2 linked regions of the Saccharomyces cerevisiae S288C genome follow. The protein of the gene in region 1 purifies or fractionates together with the protein of each later gene. This does not show direct contact. Each region holds a gene or a part of one and is shown in the gene's direction. Other genes may lie near its edges.

Evidence for each region.
Region 2: the proteins of NUP192 (region 1) and NUP84 purify together in Saccharomyces cerevisiae (affinity purification with mass spectrometry; 5 studies listed by BioGRID). This does not show direct contact.

What each region holds. Positions count from the first base shown.
Region 1 is NC_001142.9:368,168-375,965, reverse strand, and holds NUP192 (Nup192p), read left to right. Parts: upstream 1-2,166; coding exon 2,167-7,218; downstream 7,219-7,798. Other genes in the region: LOH1 (Loh1p), read left to right, coding at 192-851; FG-nucleoporin NSP1, read right to left, coding at 7,593-7,798.
Region 2 is NC_001136.10:249,778-254,550, forward strand, and holds NUP84 (Nup84p), read left to right. Parts: upstream 1-1,788; coding exon 1,789-3,969; downstream 3,970-4,773. Other genes in the region: CYK3 (Cyk3p), read left to right, coding at 1-1,461; IWR1 (Iwr1p), read right to left, coding at 4,218-4,773.

The sequences.
Region 1 (7,798 bases):
ACAAAAATAATTTTTATACTCAATTATACTACTATCCAATACATAAATATTTATTATCTTGGGATAAAAATAAAAGAATTATTTTTTTTGCTTTTTTAAAGACTATAAAAGTGTAAACTGTCAGTAAAAAAAATAGACACCACAAAACAATAAGTGAAGATAAAAGAGCCTAGTGAAGTAAACTAATTCAAATGAGGTTCCAGCTTTTCATATATTTTTATTTCACCATTGTTGTGATTGCAGGAACTAACACAATACAACAGTTCAGCGATGCGGGCGATAGGTTAATCACATCATTGAGAAATCTGGACAACAATGGAACATACGAAACATTGACAGCAGAGAAGGTGCCTATTATCGAGGGACAAATTCAAAACATTAGTGCAAAATATGAGCAGCATACTTTTATTTTGAAGGGCTTAGAAGCGGTGCTAAATTATAAAGTGAAAAGTTTGGATAATAATGAGAGAGAGTCGCTCGAAATAGAATATGAAAAGGTGGAAAAGGCACTAGATGCGGCTTTGAATGTTTCACCATTTGAATATATCAAAAAGTTTAAAGAAGTCTCCAGGGGCAAGGTAGTTAATGCTTTAGAAAACCTCAGTAGAGAACAGAATCGAATTACTATAAATGGTGGTAGAGAAGACGAAAAAGAAAAAGAAGCGAGGGAAAAAAAGAAACGACTAGACAGAATAAAGAGAATCCTAACTGTAAGTCTGTTAGAATTGGGTCTAGCTCAAGGAGTGGCCGATTTATGTGCAGTAGCACCTTTTGCGTGTCTTCTTGGGGTGACAGTTGGAAGCATCGGTTTCATATTTTGGTTGGCACTAATATATAATGCTATTCAATAACTTGAACAGTTGTACTAAGGCAGTTTAAGTCCATTATACTGTGCGCATGCACCGGCATAGCTGCCGCCGCCTATTCATCCATGACTGTTTATATTTCTGTAGCTAGCTCTCTTTTCATGAAGCGCCATATATATTATTTTTTGAAAGCTGAAAGATAGAAACTATAAATAAAATAAAGCCGAGAGAGAGAAAGACCCAAATAACCTTTAATATTATAGCCTTTAATAACAATGGAATTACAACAATTATCTAATTATTCACCTGCATCCCAAAAATATTAGTCGTAGCCAAGATGAACCAATCGATGTGTGTTATATGTACCTCTGCTTTGCAGTATAAGAAATTTACATTTATTTCTGACTAATAACACCTTGGTGCCCCAACGGTAAACAACTTGTATCAGTTCTCATAAGTGCGGCCATTTTATGCAATACAGGCTGCATTATTTCACCAGCCGTGAAAATCCGAAAATTGTAGTAATTGAAAGCGTAATTAGGTTTTACTATAATAAAGTAGTAAAACCTTCAACAAATAGTAGCTCGCGTGGCGTAATGGCAACGCGTCTGACTTCTAATCAGAAGATTATGGGTTCGACCCCCATCGTGAGTGCTTTGTTTCTTCCGTGATAGTTTAATGGTCAGAATGGGCGCTTGTCGCGTGCCAGATCGGGGTTCAATTCCCCGTCGCGGAGATTTTTTTGGCTACTCCTGTAGTTATTCTTCATTAATGCTTTGTTAACCTTCCTTAGCATTAAATGCAATAGCAGCGGCTCTTCAAAGAATATGAAGTTTATTGGCGTATAATCAAGTGATAGCATTCACAGCACCGTGTTGTTAAGGGGCAATTTACGAAGAGTCTCAGTTTATGATAGTATATACACGTTAAGGTCCCAGCAAGAGCGTAGTATTTCACGTAAATATTCTCTTTTGGGTAAAGCACTGGTATACATATATAATAATAATTAAACTGAAACGGCTCACGAGTCTAGTGAGCCCATTCTAACTACGGTCTTCATCAAAGTCCTTCTCGGGCCGGGTAGTATGATTCCGTTTTCGTCTTTTGATGAAAATAAATTTTCTGCTGGAAAATAACAAGGTTAGTTTGTAAGTGTGATGTAGTATTTAGTAAATGCGCCCATTGCCTTTCAACTAGTTTACCAATACCTTTCTTAGCCACTTAGTTTACACTATACTTAATAAATTATTTCCTCAGGGTACGCCAATTAACAACACGCCTCCTAAGCACGAAATATATATAACTTATATCACTTGGCATCTAACCTAGTTGAAAAGATTTGTTCCGCAGATAAGAAAAAATGAAATGGTCTGCAATTCCTTTCCAAACATTGTATCGCTCTATTGAGAGTGGTGAGTTCGATTTTGATCTGTTCAAAGAGGTACTTCCTGACTTACAAAATTTGAACTTAAACACAGACAAACTAAAAAACAATGCTAGCCGATCACAATTAGAAAAAGGTGAAATTGAACTATCCGATGGCTCTACTTTTAAGGTCAATCAGGAGTTTATTTTCGAAGCTATTTCTTTGTCCGATGAATTAAACTTGGATGAAATTGTTGCATGTGAACTTATACTTTCTGGTGATACCACCGCTAATAATGGCAAAGTACAATACTTTTTGAGAAGGCAATATATCCTGCAAATTGTTTCTTTTATAGTCAACTGTTTCCACGAAGATACTGAGTTATACCAAGAGCTTATAAAGAATGGAGCTTTAGTTTCTAATATCCTCTCAGCCTTTAAGTTCATTCATACTCAATTATCTGAGATTAAACAACAAATCAATAAGGCTCAGATACTAGAAAACTATAATGCTTTATTCCAACAAAATATCAAGTTTAGGAGAGACTTCTTACTGAGAGAATATGATATTCTGAGTCAAATTTTATATGGTTTAGTGGATAAAGGAGCCATCATGAAAAATAAGGATTTTATACTGTCCTTACTTCATCATGTGTCAGAATTGGATTCCAATGATTTTTTTATAATATATTATACTCCTGCATTTTTCCACCTTTTCGCATCTTTAAGAGTTTTGCCCGATGCAGATGTCAAATTATTACATTCTCAGTTTATGAAAGACTTAAAGGACGACTCCATATATACCAAACCGGTCAAAGTAGCTCTTATTTTCATTTTTTTTGCTTACTTCATTGGGTGGTGTAAAGAAGACCCTAAAAGAAGGGCTGACACGATGGATTTCAAAACTGATGTTGATGAGCCAATGACTTCTGCCGTCGAACTAGGCGCTATTGAACAAATTTTAATATTTGCCGCAGATACATCTATCGTGGAACAAGACAAGAGTATGGAACTTTTCTACGATATAAGGTCCCTGTTAGAAAGGCATATTCCAAGGCTAATTCCTAAACAGTTACTTGATGATGAAAAAATTTTCAGTCAAACGACGAATTCTACCTACAACCCAGCATCCGCAACTGATAATATGAGCGGACGCGGCTTATGGAATCCGTCTTATCCTGGGATGATGTCAACCACGGGTACCGCTCGACTAAATAGTATGCCCAATAACGTCAACGAATATTCTTACACTACTATAGTTTTATCCGATCAGACCCAAGAATTTTTCCTCTCATCCTTTGATGATGTGCTTCAAACTATTATTACAGATTGTGCCTTTTTGCTTACAAAGATTAAGGATGCTGAGGAAGACTCTTTGTTGTCCGGTGAAGACTTAACTTTGGATGACATCTCACTAAAGGCTGACTTAGAAAGATTTTTTCTGTCAATATATTTTTTCTATGCATCAAGGCCCGAATATTCATGTACTTTCTGGTCTGATAAGGAATCAAACGCTTATGGTTTTATTGAGTGGTGTTCGAGATGCAACGACAACTTGATGAGGTCTTGTTTCTATTTGATGGTTTCTAGCTTGTCCTTTGGTCCTGAAAATGCCCTGAATGTCTATCACTATTTTGGCGAAAACAGCTCGATTTCATGGAAAAACATTGCACAGTGTCTCAGTGACTACACTAAGAAAATAAGCAATTTTAACTCGAGCCTCCATAAGAGGCAGCAGTTTAGTGAGTCAACTCATAACGATATCGATTCGACTGCGGTAGCCTTAGAAGAAGGCTTAAATGAAGAAGCTGTAATATTTCTGTCTTCTTTATTAACTTTAGTTGGATCAGTTACATACCAGGTTGACGAGGATGTAAAAAGCTCGCTATCGAAAGTTTTCTCAGATGTCCTATTCGAATTCACCAAGATAAATACACCTCTCGTAGGCGCTGCTTTCAAGGTTATAAGTAACTTGGTTCCAAAACTTGAATCTTCTAGAACAAAATTTTGGTCTTTTCTAGACTCTCTAATTTTCAAGGATTCATCGCTGAATTATTCATCCGAATCTTATAGAAATGCTTTTACAAACGTGTTAACAAAATACTCTGACGTTTTGGGGTTTTTACAACTCTTCCATAATCTGATTTCTATTCATTCTCGTGAAAATAATAGTGAATACATGGTTTTTGGCAAATTGGCATTTCCAACAAGATTAGGTCAGGGATATAGGAAGGTAGGTATATGGCCATATTTTGACTACATTTTCAACGACATTTTAGCGCACGTGGATCAAATTGTTGATATCAGAAATAAAAGAGCCGTCCAGCTTCCTATTTTGAAAATTATCTATACGGGCTTATGCTCTTTTGATTACAGTGTAATTTTAAATTCTATTCCTGCAGCTGCGAATTTGGATGCTTTGGTGGATTGCGAAAATTTCTTCAATTACGTTCAAGAATGCCCAGCTATCCCCATATTCAACTATATTTTCACGGAAAAGATTTACAAAAGTATATTTAATGTAGTTGATGTTGGTGTTGATCAATTGTCCATAGAGTTAGAAGGTGGCAAAAATCAGGCTGAATTGTTGCAGTTAGCTGTGAAAATTATCAATAAAGTATTGGATTATCAGGAGACATACGTGGAAGAATTATTTCCAATTGTTAAGAAGCATGGCAAGACGGATTATTTCTTGCCAAAGAATTATTCTCTTCACGGATTACGTTCATTTTACGATGCAATTTTTTTCAATATTCCACTTGTTGCACACTTGGGTTTATACGTCGGGGTCGATGATCAAATTTTAGCCACAAATTCACTGCGTATTTTGGCGAAACTTTCAGAACGCTCTAATGGCTCCGTTGCGTCTTTGTCTAAGAGAAATAAGTTGTTAACAATATTCGATTCCGTAGATGAATCAGCCAGAATAAAGGATGCATTTATTACACAATTGGAAAGCTCAATAACCGACGCTGGTGTCCTTGCTTTGAAGTTAGAACTATTAGATTTCTTAACATCAAATCTTTCTAATTATAGTCGAACGATGACTATTTCTCATCTGTTATTAGGTTTCCAGGTCTCAAACGTTATATCCCTGGGACCTAACCTAGCAACATTTATATCTTCCGGAACCTCATTACTTGATTCCCTCATAAGCGTGTTGGAAGCTTCATTGAACAGCATTACTAAGGACAATATCGATTATGCACCTATGAGATTGGCTACAGCAGCACTGGAAATTATTCTCAAACTATGTCGTAATCCGTTAACATCTGGTCTACTATATTCATACCTAATCAAAGAAAACTTTTTTGAGAGAATAATGATCCTCGATCCACAAGTGACAAGGTTCACGACATGGAACGGCTCTCCTTTTGACAATTCTACAGAGGAAAAATGTAAGAACTTCATCGAGAGCGAATCCGTTGGTGCATTTCTGTCATTCTTAGCCTACAGGAATTATTGGACACAATATTTGGGTCTGTTCATTCATAAAATTTCATTTTCGGGCACGAAATCAGAGGTTTTAACATATGTGAATTACTTGATATCAAATACAATGTATTCGGTAAGGTTGTTTTCTTTCTTGGATCCATTAAACTATGGCAATATCTGCGAACCAAAAGAGACGTTATCAATTTTCACCAATGTTCCTTTAAATTTGGAACAAGTCACTCTTAACAAGTATTGCTCCGGCAATATCTATGACTTTCACAAAATGGAAAACCTTATGCGCCTGATTAAAAGAGTCCGTGCTGAAAGCTTACATTCTAATTCCTTCAGTCTCACTGTGTCAAAAGAACAATTTTTGAAGGATGCAGATGTCGAGTGTATAAAAGCAAAAAGCCATTTCACGAATATTATATCAAGAAACAAAGCATTGGAGTTGAACCTATCTGTGCTGCACTCTTGGGTACAGTTGGTGCAAATCATTGTTACTGATGGAAAATTGGAACCATCAACAAGATCAAACTTTATTCTGGAGGTTTTTGGTACAATTATTCCGAAGATTAGTGATTATATTGAGTTTAATATAACTTTTTCAGAAGAATTGGTTTCTCTCGCCGTTTTCCTATTTGATATATATAACCGCGATCGTAAGTTGATTACCGACAAAGGCACGGTAGACGGCAGGCTATATCAGTTGTTCAAGACATGTATTCAGGGTATAAACTCCCCACTCTCCTCTGTGGCATTAAGGTCCGATTTCTATATATTAGCAAACCATTATTTGAGTAGAGTTCTAAGCGACCAAGTAGGGTCCGAAAAGGTTCTGCAGGATTTGAGACTAGGAAGTAAAAAATTGGTAGAGATCATATGGAACGATGTTGTTTATGGCGAGGGAACTAGTAGGGTTACAGGTATATTACTATTGGATTCACTTATTCAACTGGCTAATAGAAGTAAAGAGAATTTTATATTGGATTCACTGATGAAAACTACAAGACTGCTCTTAATAATACGTTCGCTGAAAAATACAGATGCTTTGTTAAATTCTACTACAGAGCACATAAACATTGATGATTTGTTATATGAATTGACAGCTTTTAAAGCCACTGTATTCTTTTTAATACGTGTTGCCGAAACTAGAGGTGGAGCTAGCGCTTTAATTGAAAATAATCTATTCCGAATAATCGCGGAATTGTCATTTTTAAAAGTTGATCCTGATTTGGGTCTAGACCTTATGTTTGACGAAGTCTACGTTCAGAATTCCAAATTCTTAAAGGTTAACGTCACCTTGGATAATCCGCTACTAGTTGACAAAGATGCTAATGGTGTTTCCTTGTTTGAGTTAATCGTTCCTATATTCCAATTGATATCAGCTGTTTTAGTGAGCATGGGGAGCTCAAACAAAGCTGTTGTTCAAACGGTAAAGGGTTTACTGAATACGTATAAGAGGCTAGTGATCGGAATATTCAAAAGAGATCTTTTGAGGGAAAAAGAAGATAAGAAAAATTCGTCGGATCCTAATAACCAAAGTTTAAACGAAATGGTGAAGCTAATTGTGATGTTATGCACATTAACAGGATATCAAAATAACGATTAAGTCATTCATTATCACTTTTAAGAATTACTTTTAGGAATCGATTTCATTTTGCAAAATATTTGGTTGTGTACTAAGTACTAAGAAGAAACTATCACAAAAAGTGGCTTTTAGTTTCATACACTACAGAAGCCTTTCTTTGGTTCTGATTTGGTGCGTATTTACTGTCTAATGAAATAAAAATCCAGGTCGTTTACAGATCGGCACGACACATTACAAAAACTTCTTGAAAAAGGAAAAAAACAAGTATGATTGAGGTGTTAAATTAATTGCAGGTTCTGAACCATCGCGTACATTTTGATACCTATATATAATTATTTAATATAGCACATCCTATGTCAAATAAGTGTAGAATAGAGGGAATTTTTTCTTTTAGATCATTTCTTTATCGAGTTGATTTGTTTTTCCAGAGAGGTGGAGTTATCGTCTAGTGACCTTAAAGCGTCGAAATGTGAATTCAAGATTTTGATTAGTTGAATATTTTCGTCTTCATTGTTTATATCGATGTTAGTGGTTTTGTTGAATGTATTACTAACATTGTTGATTTCTACTATTAGAGAAGAAAGATTGGATGACAACGAGT
Region 2 (4,773 bases), on another chromosome or scaffold:
AGGTATATGAGAGCTCTCGAAGAAAATCGCGACTTGATCTTACATCCTCAAGATTCGATTTATAACGGGCTAAATACCAATGAAGTCAAAGGTAATACAAAGCCCGGTTTGGTCGATGTGGAACTGGCCGAATTAAACATAGAATACATTGATAAGATGACTTGGAAACGGTGTATTAGAGACGGAACTATGACATTAGACAGTTGGGCTCAAACAACTTTTTCAGCAAGATACTCAACTGTTCTGGAAAAGTTAAGAGGCATATACATTTTTTGCACAGAGATGTTTGCTCTGACTGATGATAATGGAACGTCAGATTTTTCTGCGGAACCCCAAAATTTAGAGAAAATACTATACAGAAAGCATTGTACGCCATATGAATTGACATGGCTTTTCAAGAAATTAGCAAACTCATTGGGAATCACTTGTGAAATTGTTATAGGTTTCCTGAAAACACCGAGTGCTATAAATTGGGAGTTTAAGTATAACCACTGCTGGTTGAGAATACTGGTTAACAAAGAATGGAGATTTATTGACGTTATTTTAGGAAATGTAACCAACCCAATTCATGAATTTGTAAATAACAGAAAGATCAAGAAAGCAGAAAATAGCTACTTTTTGATGGCACCATTAGAAATGATATACACACATATACCGCCTAGGGAATTTGAGCAGCATATTGTTCCTAGTATCGATCAATTATCTGCATTGTATCTGCCATTAGTTTTTCCATCTTTTTTCAAAAATGAGTTAAAGTTATACAAATTTAGTACTGCACTATCATTTTTGGAAGATTCTGAGATCTACGAATGCTCCTTAGAAATTCCCAATGACGTTGAAGTCTTTGCATCCGTGGTTATTCCAACGGATAATGAAGAAGCTTCATCTGCGTACAGGAATATGGAACTCGCACTGACCCAAATCAAAAAGCAGAAAGCCGAGTCTGGTAGAAGAATTGCTCTAATCAAAGCAGTCCTACCACCCAATGTGAACAAAGGTTCACTGTACATACATTCAGGTGTAAGAGGTACGCAAACGAGTATTGCCAATATCCATCCACTGTCCATGATGGTCCCATTAACACATAAGGGAAGTAACATGAAATACGAATTTGTGATCAAGATACCCTCAGAAAGCATTCAGAAGATTGAGCTATACATTGTCGAGCCACAGAGTAGATATCTATTTGTTGGTAATGAGTACTCATTCGAAGTTATTCAAAGTCCCTCCGATGGTATTGTATACAGCAGTGATGAAGGGCCGAACCAAAATAGGAAACAACCAATGGCAATAAAATCACCCTCAGGAAGAGTTCATGAGCTAGTCAAGAGCGATCCCCACTTTCCTTATGGTACCTGGAAAGGAAGCATTAAAATCAAAGAGCCCGGCGTCTGGAGCGCTTTAGTGATCGCTGACTCTGGTATTGGGTGGTCCGTTTTTGCTGAATGGTTGTGCGTATAAACGTTTTTCACAAATTTTTTTACAGCGCTATAATCTGTATCATTCAACATACATTCTACTCAGGAAGGTGAATTTCATAACTCATATATGGCTATATAGTACTTATTATTTAATGATTTATCCATTGCATTCATAAAAGCTATGCTGGTCCAACTTTTTCGTATTTAGTGATGTTTTCGGTGAAGAAAATATGAAAAATTAGACCAAATGCTCAAATACATACGACATTTGAATTGTTTAGGCAAGTCCGAAAACGAGGTATATCAGCTAATTCAACCTGAAAACCAATTGAGTGCTACTTCGAAGTAAAATACATAGCCATTTCAAATGGAATTATCCCCTACTTATCAAACAGAACGCTTCACAAAGTTCTCAGACACTTTAAAGGAATTCAAAATTGAACAAAATAATGAGCAAAACCCCATTGACCCGTTTAACATCATAAGAGAGTTTCGCTCAGCCGCGGGGCAGCTTGCGTTAGATTTGGCTAATTCTGGAGATGAAAGTAACGTCATATCTTCTAAGGATTGGGAACTGGAAGCTAGATTTTGGCATTTAGTAGAACTGTTACTGGTTTTCAGGAACGCTGATCTTGATCTAGATGAAATGGAACTTCATCCTTATAACTCGAGGGGTTTATTTGAAAAGAAATTAATGCAAGACAACAAACAACTTTATCAAATATGGATAGTGATGGTTTGGCTCAAAGAAAATACATATGTGATGGAAAGACCCAAAAATGTACCAACTTCAAAATGGTTAAATAGTATTACTTCTGGAGGATTGAAAAGCTGTGACTTGGATTTTCCTTTACGAGAAAACACTAATGTCCTCGATGTTAAAGATAAAGAAGAAGATCATATTTTCTTCAAATACATTTACGAACTAATTTTGGCCGGTGCGATTGATGAAGCATTAGAAGAAGCTAAACTTTCCGACAATATTTCAATTTGTATGATCCTGTGTGGGATACAAGAGTACTTAAACCCTGTCATTGATACGCAAATTGCAAACGAATTCAATACCCAGCAAGGTATCAAGAAGCACTCTTTGTGGAGAAGAACAGTTTACAGCCTTTCGCAGCAGGCCGGTTTGGACCCTTATGAAAGGGCGATATACAGCTATTTGAGTGGCGCTATTCCCAACCAAGAAGTTCTGCAATATTCGGATTGGGAGTCTGATCTGCACATACACTTAAATCAAATTTTACAAACTGAAATTGAAAATTATCTTTTGGAAAACAATCAAGTAGGTACTGATGAACTGATTTTACCATTACCTTCACACGCGCTAACTGTACAAGAGGTGCTTAATAGAGTGGCTTCAAGGCATCCCTCAGAAAGTGAACATCCAATCAGAGTTTTAATGGCATCTGTCATACTAGATTCTTTGCCATCAGTTATTCATTCATCCGTGGAAATGTTGCTTGATGTCGTCAAGGGAACCGAAGCTAGTAACGATATTATAGATAAGCCTTATCTTCTGAGGATAGTTACACATTTAGCCATTTGCCTTGATATAATTAATCCAGGTTCTGTTGAAGAGGTTGATAAGTCCAAGCTCATTACTACGTATATCAGTCTTCTGAAATTGCAAGGCCTTTATGAAAATATTCCAATATATGCTACTTTCCTGAATGAGTCAGACTGCTTAGAGGCATGCTCTTTCATATTGTCTTCTTTAGAGGACCCCCAAGTAAGGAAAAAGCAAATTGAGACAATAAACTTTCTAAGATTACCTGCCTCAAATATTTTGAGAAGAACCACACAGCGTGTTTTCGATGAAACCGAACAAGAATATTCACCATCTAACGAAATTTCCATATCTTTCGATGTAAACAACATTGATATGCACTTAATATATGGCGTGGAATGGCTTATTGAAGGGAAGCTTTATGTGGACGCTGTCCACTCTATCATTGCCTTATCGAGGAGATTTTTGTTAAATGGCCGCGTAAAGGCTCTCGAACAATTTATGGAGAGAAATAATATTGGAGAAATATGCAAGAATTATGAATTAGAGAAAATAGCCGATAACATATCAAAGGATGAAAATGAAGATCAGTTTTTGGAAGAAATAACTCAATATGAGCATTTGATAAAGGGCATAAGAGAATATGAAGAATGGCAAAAATCCGTTAGCTTGTTAAGCTCTGAATCGAACATTCCTACTTTAATAGAGAAATTGCAAGGTTTTTCAAAGGATACATTTGAATTGATCAAGACATTTTTAGTAGATTTAACTTCCTCTAATTTCGCGGATTCGGCAGATTATGAAATCCTGTATGAGATTAGAGCCCTATATACTCCATTTCTACTGATGGAATTGCATAAAAAGTTAGTGGAAGCCGCAAAGTTGTTAAAGATCCCAAAATTTATTTCGGAAGCCCTGGCATTTACCTCATTGGTCGCTAATGAGAACGACAAGATTTATTTATTATTCCAATCTAGTGGAAAGTTAAAAGAGTATCTGGATCTCGTTGCTCGCACAGCAACCCTTTCGAACTGATCAATTAATGTATTGCAGAATAAGTTTATATTTTAAGTAAACAGCAATAATTTTATGCATTTCTTCTATCTATTTCAGAAGTAATTGACGTGATTTTTTATAGTTTTGCTTTGAATCTTTGTGTTTCCACACCGGAGAAAAAAAAGTTCATGAAGTGAAAAAGCGGTTAAACATGAATTTTCTACTATCTAAAGATAAAATTACAGATGCAGTTACTTACATACATTGAACAGTTTCTGACGGCAAATTTAGCTTCTATTAATTTTTTTCTGTAGCTGATGAAAAATTCTGTCCCTATGATGCGCCAATGGGTCATCAACATCCGTCGGAAAAAATTCATTTCTAGGGTATTCAATATCATCTCCTTCATCAGAATCATCTTCGTTATCACTTATCTCTATTTCACCTTCTTGGCCATCCAAGTCAATGAAATTCGAGGAATTTATGGATTTCAAGACATCACTTTTTCCTCCAAGCCTGTTAAAAAGATCCCCGTACTCTTCCTCCACATCGTGGTACCCATTAGATCCCTGAATTTTATCGTCATTCCAAGAGGAAAACCTGCTCTTATTAACCCCTATAACAATCTCTTCACCCAATGCAGCTATATCCTCTCCTTCGCTACCAAATAGAATAGATCTATCATCATCTTCATCCTCCGGATAATCATTTTGGTAATAGTTTTCGTCATTAGAATCCTCATCGTCTGAACGGGCTTCATTGGGATCACTTTCTTCATCAAGAGCCAAATCTATATGCTCAATAATTTTCACAAACCCTATATTTTTCTCGTTGTTATATCTA